Arabidopsis thaliana: one gene and its partner. The protein of the gene in region 2 interacts with the protein of the main gene of each other region in a pairwise test. Each region holds a gene or a part of one and is shown on either strand. Other genes may lie near its edges.

The links.
Region 1: the proteins of AT2G42940 (region 2) and MTN1 interact in a two-hybrid assay, tested with the Arabidopsis thaliana proteins (one large-scale study listed by BioGRID).

The regions. Positions count from the first base shown.
Region 1 is NC_003075.7:18,112,345-18,117,179, forward strand, and holds MTN1 (methylthioadenosine nucleosidase 1), read right to left. Parts: upstream 2,833-4,835; 5' UTR 2,653-2,832; coding exon 2,553-2,652; intron 2,465-2,552; coding exon 2,401-2,464; intron 2,318-2,400; coding exon 2,226-2,317; intron 2,067-2,225; coding exon 1,960-2,066; intron 1,718-1,959; coding exon 1,643-1,717; intron 1,540-1,642; coding exon 1,465-1,539; intron 1,394-1,464; coding exon 1,301-1,393; intron 1,209-1,300; coding exon 1,011-1,208; 3' UTR 817-1,010; downstream 1-816. Other genes in the region: AT4G38790 (ER lumen protein retaining receptor family protein), read left to right, coding at 1-90, 169-249, 377-501, 585-633; AT4G38810 (Calcium-binding EF-hand family protein), read right to left, coding at 3,263-3,490, 3,677-3,805, 3,908-4,132, 4,440-4,739. UniProt on the Arabidopsis thaliana protein: Enzyme of the methionine cycle that catalyzes the irreversible cleavage of the glycosidic bond in 5'-methylthioadenosine (MTA) to adenine and 5'-methylthioribose.
Region 2 is NC_003071.7:17,861,445-17,865,152, forward strand, and holds AT2G42940 (Putative AT-hook DNA-binding family protein), read right to left. Parts: upstream 2,013-3,708; 5' UTR 1,827-2,012; coding exon 1,053-1,826; 3' UTR 810-1,052; downstream 1-809. Other genes in the region: AT2G42950 (Magnesium transporter CorA-like family protein), read left to right, coding at 2,615-2,748, 2,854-3,217, 3,307-3,495, 3,593-3,684. UniProt on the Arabidopsis thaliana protein: Transcription factor that specifically binds AT-rich DNA sequences related to the nuclear matrix attachment regions (MARs).

The DNA of each region.
Region 1 (4,835 bases), on a different chromosome or scaffold from region 2:
AACATAATAAACAGAATTTCATGGGCTTTATGTGTATACCTTGAAGCTGTTTCAGTACTACCTCAGCTACGAGTGATGCAGAACACAAAGGTCACTACTTTATTTCACAATGTCAAGTAGAGAACTACATTTGTTTTACTCTCTAATCCGCGTCTATTTGGTTTTCAGATTGTTGAACCGTTCACGGCTCATTATGTTTTTGCACTTGGAGTAGCAAGGTTCCTCAGCTGTGCCCACTGGGTTTTACAGGTTAGTTTTGATCTTCAAGAGTGGATAGAGGTTATACCAATAGTGGTGATTCCTATACTCGATTGGATTAGTACCTTAAAAGTCGATTTTGAATAGCTGAATACATTGTCTAATGTGCTGAAAATAGGTTGTGGACACGCGGGGACGGTTGCTTGTAGCATTGGGTTATGGATTGTGGCCATCAATGGTTCTGATCTCAGAAATTGTTCAAACTTTCATCTTGGCAGATTTCTGTTACTACTACGTCAAAAGGTACGCATTAGTCCTTCACTTCAACAGTTTAGCTATTTAGCTCTTTGTATATATCTCAAAAGTTTCAACATTTTTCTTTACAGCGTTTTCGGAGGCCAGCTTGTTCTCCGGCTACCGTCTGGAGTAGTATAAGTTCAAAAGATAGAAATACCCCAACGATGTCCTGCGATGAGCTTGACGGAAATTCTAATTGGGAAAGATAGCTCAATTTTTCTTTACCTCTGATTTCATCGTTTATGTGTCTTGAGGTTTCACCAAGTGTCTCGGTTACGAATTAATTTTACAGTGTTGTATATTTTGCCTATCAAGGGATTTAACGTCTTTCAGGTCGATAAGTTATCTTTGAAATTGTTTCTTTACCAAAATTTAAGCAACACTAGGGAGAGAACGTCTTATAACTTGAAATTTATTAACGAGAAATATGATCACTGGAAATCAGTGAAACTGCAACAAGCACGTTGAACGCATTTTAAAAAATCACTCTCCATAAAAAAGGAAGAGAACAGAAGTTAAAGGTCCGAAAGGTTTCTCCCATTGATGAAGTTGATCACTTTAGTAGCAGTTCCCTCTAATGCAGCGGTCACAACTGTCAAGTTCTGCAAGAACTCTTCTGCTGTAGGTTTATCTCCGTCCACTAGATCGGTCACGGCTTTGAGGAACACGACTGGTATTTTCAGAAGATCAGCCACATACGCCACGGCAGCACCCTGAAGAATCCAGAGCCAAAAGAGTTTCAAAACAACAGTTTCATTGATTTTCTGGTTAGATTCAGTAATAAGAATTGTTAACATTACACTACCTCCATGTCCTTTAGCGTAGCATCATTGGCAATGATCAATGTTTCATCTTGCGTGGACATATCCAACGAGTCACCAGTAGATAACCTGCCAATCTGAACCACCCCAATTTTGTCAAAATTGAAATAGTTAAAAGAGTAAGTAGCATCTTGAGTCTATTAAATACCTTCAAATTGAGTTCCTTGAGGAGATTGGGTGTCGAGAATGCCTGACGGAGACCAACTCCATACAGATCAAACATCTAGAGAGATAAACAAACATTGCTCAGGAACTTGCAAGATGAACTGGCAAAAAGGGAATCATCACTAAAGATGGAAAAAAGAAAGAAAGGAAGATGAACCTACCGGAATTGGTATTCTTCTATCATGAAACACAACATCAGATACAAGGAATACATCGCCTATGTTGGCTCCTTTGACCTGCAAATGTTCAGCCAATCAGCACTTTCATTACATGAAAATAAACCAACTTTCACAACATAAAAATAGAGATATGGAGAGAGAGAGAGATCTTTTATGATGCAACTCAAATCTCAGAGTTGAGTAAACGAGCAGTAACAAAATCAAACCCAAACCACAAGTAAAGAAAGAAGAGAGGACGTGGTTCTTAGCAAGGATGCTGGAAGTCAAGACAGAGCACACGAGAAGTAAAAGAACTGTACCTTGAAGCCACCGCAGGTTCCGGCATTGATTATGATGTCAGGTTTTAATGCTTGGATGGAAGCAAAAGTTATGAGAGAAGCTGGAACAGTTCCAACACTATCGATCCCTGGAGAGAAATCTCAGTTAGTAGCATAAAAAAAGTGCATTCATTTTCCCTCATACCAAACAATGCAGCGACTTGAGAAACCAAAGCTACTATACTAAAATGCTGAGAGATTCACAGGCTAATTATCATATCTTTGAGAGCATTGAGTGCAAAGCTTACCTAAAGCTGCATCTCTTCCGGGGCAAACTACATTGATTCGAAGATCTTTATGCACGCCGTGATACAGAACCCAGGGCAATCCTTTACCAAGCCTGCAAAAAAGTAAACTTTGAAGTGAGAGATTCATGGAGATCAAATCCAAACAAGCAAAATCGAAAAAAGGAGAGCTCTTAACGGCGAATCAGTAGTTTCAGAGAGTCCGAACTTGTTGACCAAAGGAAGAGCCTCCGCTTGCATAGCTGCAGCTCCGTCAGAAACACACAAAAAGTAAGTAAGAAGACGAAGAAGAAATCGATCGAATCGGAAACTTCATAAATCATAAAGTACCGATGACGAAGACGACTGAGGAGATCGGTCGAAGAATCTCCGATTGAGCATCGACCTCAGGTTCTTCGATGTCACTTAATCCATCTCCATGAGGAGCCATAACCTTATCCCTCTCTTCCGATTCTCGGCGATGCGTTTGATTCCCAGGAAAAATCCGAGAATCGGAAAGAAACGGCTGGAAACTCCGGCGAATGAGAGATACAGTTTATTCGTTTTTGGACCTTTTGGTCCTCTTTTGTGTTTCCACTTACCAATAATAATATAATAAAAACAAATTATTTTTTTGTGCTAATGACCGTAATTAATTAAATTTAGCTAAGTTTTTGTACTAATCTGGTCTCCTTGTAGTTTTAGCCAAGCTCTTGTAATCAAATTTTCAAATTCTTCAATTAACTTCAGAATATTTATTTCACACTTTTAAAGATAACTCAAATGTTTCATCATAGCCATTCAAGCATCATAAACGTAAACAAATTTTAACGAAATTAAAAAACAGAGTAAACATTGCATCCCATGGTCATTAGAAAAAAAAAAAAAAAGGCATGAGTAGAATCACCACACCAACAAGAGGAAACCCCAAACTTTCAATTTTATACATCTGAAAGTAAAGACGGTTTTCCTCATTAATCTAAAACTTTTGGGGGTAAACACTCAAAAGTCAAAACCATATAACATTTGTTGCTGCTAGTGCTGCTTATTCCCTTCTATGATTAGTTTGAAGGCTCCTCTGTATCAGTCGAAGTTGACGGCAGAAAGGTAGCCGAGGTGAGCGGCTCGTGAACCACCGAGTTAGAGGAAACCGATATGGGACTACCCTCGAGCTGCAACATTATACTCCCCAATATCTCTGCCATTGTTTTCTTAAACTCTTCTTCCTTCACCACATTTCCATCATCTCCATTCACCATCTTCAACGCTTCCATTATCATATTATCCATCTTATAAACAAAAACAAACTTAACTAATCAATGCCGTTCAAAAAATAAAAATAAAAATTCACTAATAATTTTTGATTAAAACACTAATTCTGGTTTCATTTGTTTAACAAATAATTGTAACATGTAAATTCAAAGGCAAAATAAACAATTTAAAAGACAAAATAATTTAGACGGGGCATTATTTACCTGGGACACAGCGCCTATTGGTGGTAAAGTGGCCGATGGTGCAACAGTGTCAAGCACAGCTCGTAGATATCCTTTAGACACCTTACCCTGACGGTCTTTTGGAATCGTCTCCATGGCAACGTTTAGTGCCTGCGACCAAACCGTTCCGGATCATCATCACTCGTTACCATCATTTAAAAAGTTTTCCTTTAGCATAAAAGCTAGATAACATATATATGTATGGTAGTTTACCTTATCGAATTCGAATTTATTGGACAAGAGCCTCCTGATACCGCTCCCATCAAAGGTGTTTTCGCTGTGAGCAACGATCACGGGCTGTTCATTGAGACGCTGAGCCACACTCTCCACGACTCTCTTGAATGCTTCCAAGAATCTCTCCTGAGACGCGCTTTTCTCTCTTTTATCTTCTTCATCAAGACAAGAGTCAACAATTGGTTCTACGATGTTGCTCATCACCTGTTACAAGGACTTTGCTTTTTAGGCAAAACTCAGTTGTCTCTAGCAACATATATAACATCAAATACGAACTTGGATACATATTACGTATCATATGTACTCCCACCATGTAAGTATCGTTCTGATATTTTGTACAACAAAAAAAAAACACCCGAAAAGTATTTTTACGGTTTTGGTAAAAATACAAAAACAAACGGTTCTTAATATTATATGCTTTATTTTATCAATCATATAAATTTAGATTTGAAGTTAAATTAGGAAAATCCATAGCTTAACAGAAATATATAAAAATAAAATAAATAGGTACCCATGGGTCGTTGGAAGGAGGCATTCCATGATCAACAGAAAGAGACTGGAGAGCTTTGACGATACAATCACGGAGCGATGCGTCCTTGCTACTGGAGAGCTCTGAGAAAACAGAAATGCTCTCGATTTCATATCCAGGGCCGTGGACAAACTCCGAGAGATCCTCACCGTCCATCCTGAGGATGACGATAGGATCACGTTTCAGACCAGCAGCCATACCCAACAAAATGTCCGACAACACTTCTTTGAACTCTGTCTTGCTCACTTTCTCTTGACTCCCATGAGTGAATTCGTTTAGGACCTGTATATAGTTTATTATAACGTTACAAACGATGAAAAATAAATGTACGGATAAGACAGCTAGAGGGTTATTGGTTTAATCTCGTTGTCTCTTCTT
Region 2 (3,708 bases):
ACAGGCATGATTATATGTCTTTATCTCTAATTAATGCCATGACATGCTATGCAGTTTACACTGACCATGTATAGTGCCTCTGTTGTGTGTGATCATTACAGGAAAGCGTCCTAAACGGAATCTTTCAAAGAAACTTCATCGAGAATGTTGGTTTGGAAACGCACAGCACAAGTTATTGATCCAAATCCAGAAAAGTTTGGAAGTTTGTGCTTGAAGGTTAGTTTATCATTCGATGTCAGTTTTAATGTGTTTGTGATTTATCTACTAAGTTTTCCGTGAGGTGCAAGGAGAAAACTTTCACATATTTTCGTCTTCACTGGCTAGATATAAGTACATAACGATTAGCTTCAGCATCACCAAACATGTTATTCTACCCACAGAAGTACTGATTTTAATTCAAGGTAGTTAGATAATGAAATAGGGATTTAGGGAAATAGGCTATGATGTTTAAGGTGATAGACGTACTAATGTTTTTGGCATTGCTCATGAAAGTACCCAATCATAAACATGAGAAACCGCGTTTATTTCCTTAATCCCCAGATATCTGAAACGTCAAGAGTTTGTATCTTGTTAGTGAAACCCTCAAAAATCCTCTAGAGATTTACAGATTATATAACATGTTGAAACTGGGATGAGAGTGGAGTAAAATCAGAAGTTGGTTGCTAGCTCAGTTTCCTAAATAATTGCTGGAACGGTGCAACTGCAATTGGTATCACACAGGTAAAGAGAAATCACCAGTTTGTATGATTCTTCACATGTTCTGCTATTAATGGCCAACATTCACTTTGGATCAAGGATAAAAATATTGTAATATTTTCGTATTAAATTAGAGGATTGTGCTTAAAATTCATAATCATTTACTTTTGCTTTTTTCAGTTTTTTCTTTTTACTGTTGCAGGTACAAACTACAAAGGGAGATAAGCTTCAGTTTCTTAACCAGACTTACGGTTCTCTCTCAACCTACAGACACATTTATCTTTGATTCCAAGGTAAATGAGATAATAAGATTAAGGCATTTGATATGATGAAACGTGGAGATTAGAGCAGTAGTATTAAGGTTTCGACATGACACGCTGCGCAGGCCCCCAAGAGTAGATATCAGAAGCCGAGTTTCCATTAGTGAGCAGATTTTGAGGCAGTCCATGAATGTCATCTAAAGGACGGGATCTTCCATTCTGGTAGTACTGCTGGTTCTGCATAGAGGCAGCTTCATCATCATCCATAGGAAGACGATCAAAAACAGCATTCATGAAAGATGCAGCCATGAGAACAACAGGACCAGATGCGATTAGCCCACCAACCACTCCTCCACCAACAACCTGTCCTTGAGGTCCGGCTAAGTAAATGGTCAGACCAGTTATTCCAAGTGGTGCTGGTGGAGGCAAGATTGATCCAAGCAATGAGAGGATCTCGTAACGTCCGTGTAATGTGACAATTGCTCCTGATGAAGCTGGTTGCCTTAATGTCACATTGGTGACACAACCATTGGCACTGAGAATGCAGAGACCTCTCTGTTTCCTTCTTGCAAAATCCGATAAAGTCTCACAGATGTCACAACCTGAGCTGATCTCAACGGCGTTAGCTCTGAGGGAATTTGGACTGTCGTGAGTCACAATGATTGGTGGTTTGGGTTTGTTCTTGGAGCCAGCGGGTCTGCCACGTGGCCTCTTAGCCATCTCTCCTTCGATTGATGAAACCGGTTGGACGGCTTTGGGTAATGCTCTCAGGTTGTTGTTGGTGTTGCCTCTCTCTGTTGCTTCATGGTTCCTCATTGGAACAGACTTGGATCCTACAGAGGTTGGAGTTAGAGCTGTACCTCCAGCCATTGTTATGAATGTTGTTATATGTTCAACTGAAAGATTCAGAAAATTTGTGAGGAGTTTGTGAGTTTAAGTAAGGAGATTTTGGTGAATTATTAAATGGTAGAGACACCAAAAGAATGATTGTGAGGAGTAGGAGATGGTTAAGTTGTCACCAAAAATTGTGATTAATAGTTAACAAATTTATTTTGCAAAAAAAGAAAAAAAAGAAAAGTTTCTGGCAGCCTACTTCTCAACAGATGATTAAGTATTTGATTCATGACAATTGTCTTCTTTAACAGAGAGATTCATAATAATGCTTAAACATCTTGTAGCTATTTACAACCAAATTTATACCCTTTTTGGGACCAAAACTAAAATCAAATACTGATCGAGAGTTGAGAAACAACAAAAAATGAGAGTCGTCCACTGCTCTGTATTTTATCGCCTTCCATACTCGACTCTTATTGGGCTTTTAAATTGGTCCTACAGAGAAGGTCCAATAAGGCCCAAAATATGTAAATGTACACGTGTGGTTGGTTCTTAGCCTTGACTTGTCGTCCTCGACCTGTGCCACATTCATCTCTCTCTCTCAGTCAAATTGTTGTTTTCTTTCTTCGAATCGGTGCAGAAAATTCAGGGAAGTTCTGGGGAAGGTTGTTGCGTTTGACTCCTTTGGCTTAGTTTTCTTTCGAATTCCGTGCTTCCTGATGATCTTACGTGAAATTGCAGCCTAAAATTTCGAGATTGTTTTTTTTACTCAGAAAACGAGATTTGACTGATATGAATCGAAAATCTGTGATTTAAAGTGAAGCATGAATGCGAATCACAAGAACGGGAATCCAGGTTACCATAATCTCTGGACCAATGGACTTATCTGTGCTTTCGAGTTTTGTCAAGGTCGTCGTAAGAATAACACAAGTGTCCATGGAGATTCGTCTCTCAGAATGTATGATGATTGTTACTAACTTGTTGATACATATTAGTGCTTAGTCTCTTTTTTTCTTTTTCTTGTAGAGTGTTTTTTTAAACAGTGTTGTTGTTGTTGTGATAGAAAGAAACAGGAATGTGAAACAGATCAATTTGGTACTGGTGAAGACGAAGAACATTCTAGGAGTTATTGGCGAGGAATTGGATGGGATAGGATCTCTGAGCTTGTTCAGACTGTTCAAGTTGATAATAATTGGGATTTGCGAAAGATTGACTTAGATGAGGATGAAGCCACTGTTGCTGAGCTTGCTGCTCCTTACTGGGAACGACCACTTGCTGGTCCAACTTGGTGGTGTCATCTTGATGCTACCCATCATGGTATTGCCTCGTGGTTACGTAATGCGCATTGGTTACATCCCGCGGTCAGTCTTGCTCTGCGGGACGAAAGCAAACTGATTAGTGAACGAATGAAACATATTTTCTATGAGGTAACAAAAATCTGAGTTATGTTGCTTCTTTGTAATGTGAGCTGTGCTATGATTCTATAGCTGAAATTTGTTAATATGTTGGTGGATAGGTGCCTGTCAGAGTTGCTGGTGGGTTGCTGTTTGAGCTGTTGGGACAATCAGCGGGTGATCCTTTCATCCAAGAAGATGACATACCTATTGTCTTAAGGTCTTGGCAAGCACAGAATTTTCTGGTGACTGCATTGCACGTTAAAGGCTTTGCCTTGAACATTAGTGTCTTAGGTATTACTGAAGTCCAGGTTTGTTCTTCTTATTTGAATCATTGTTTTCCTTTACTCGTTGATCAATTAGTCAAAACTGGTTTTCAGTCTTCTGGGGTTCCTTCTGTCTTACCAGGAAATGCTTATTGCTGGTGGAGCCTGCATTCCGAGAACCGTTCATGAACTAATAGCACATCTTGCATGCCGCCTTGCACGCTGGGATGATAGGTATTTCCCTTCCCTTGAATCTAG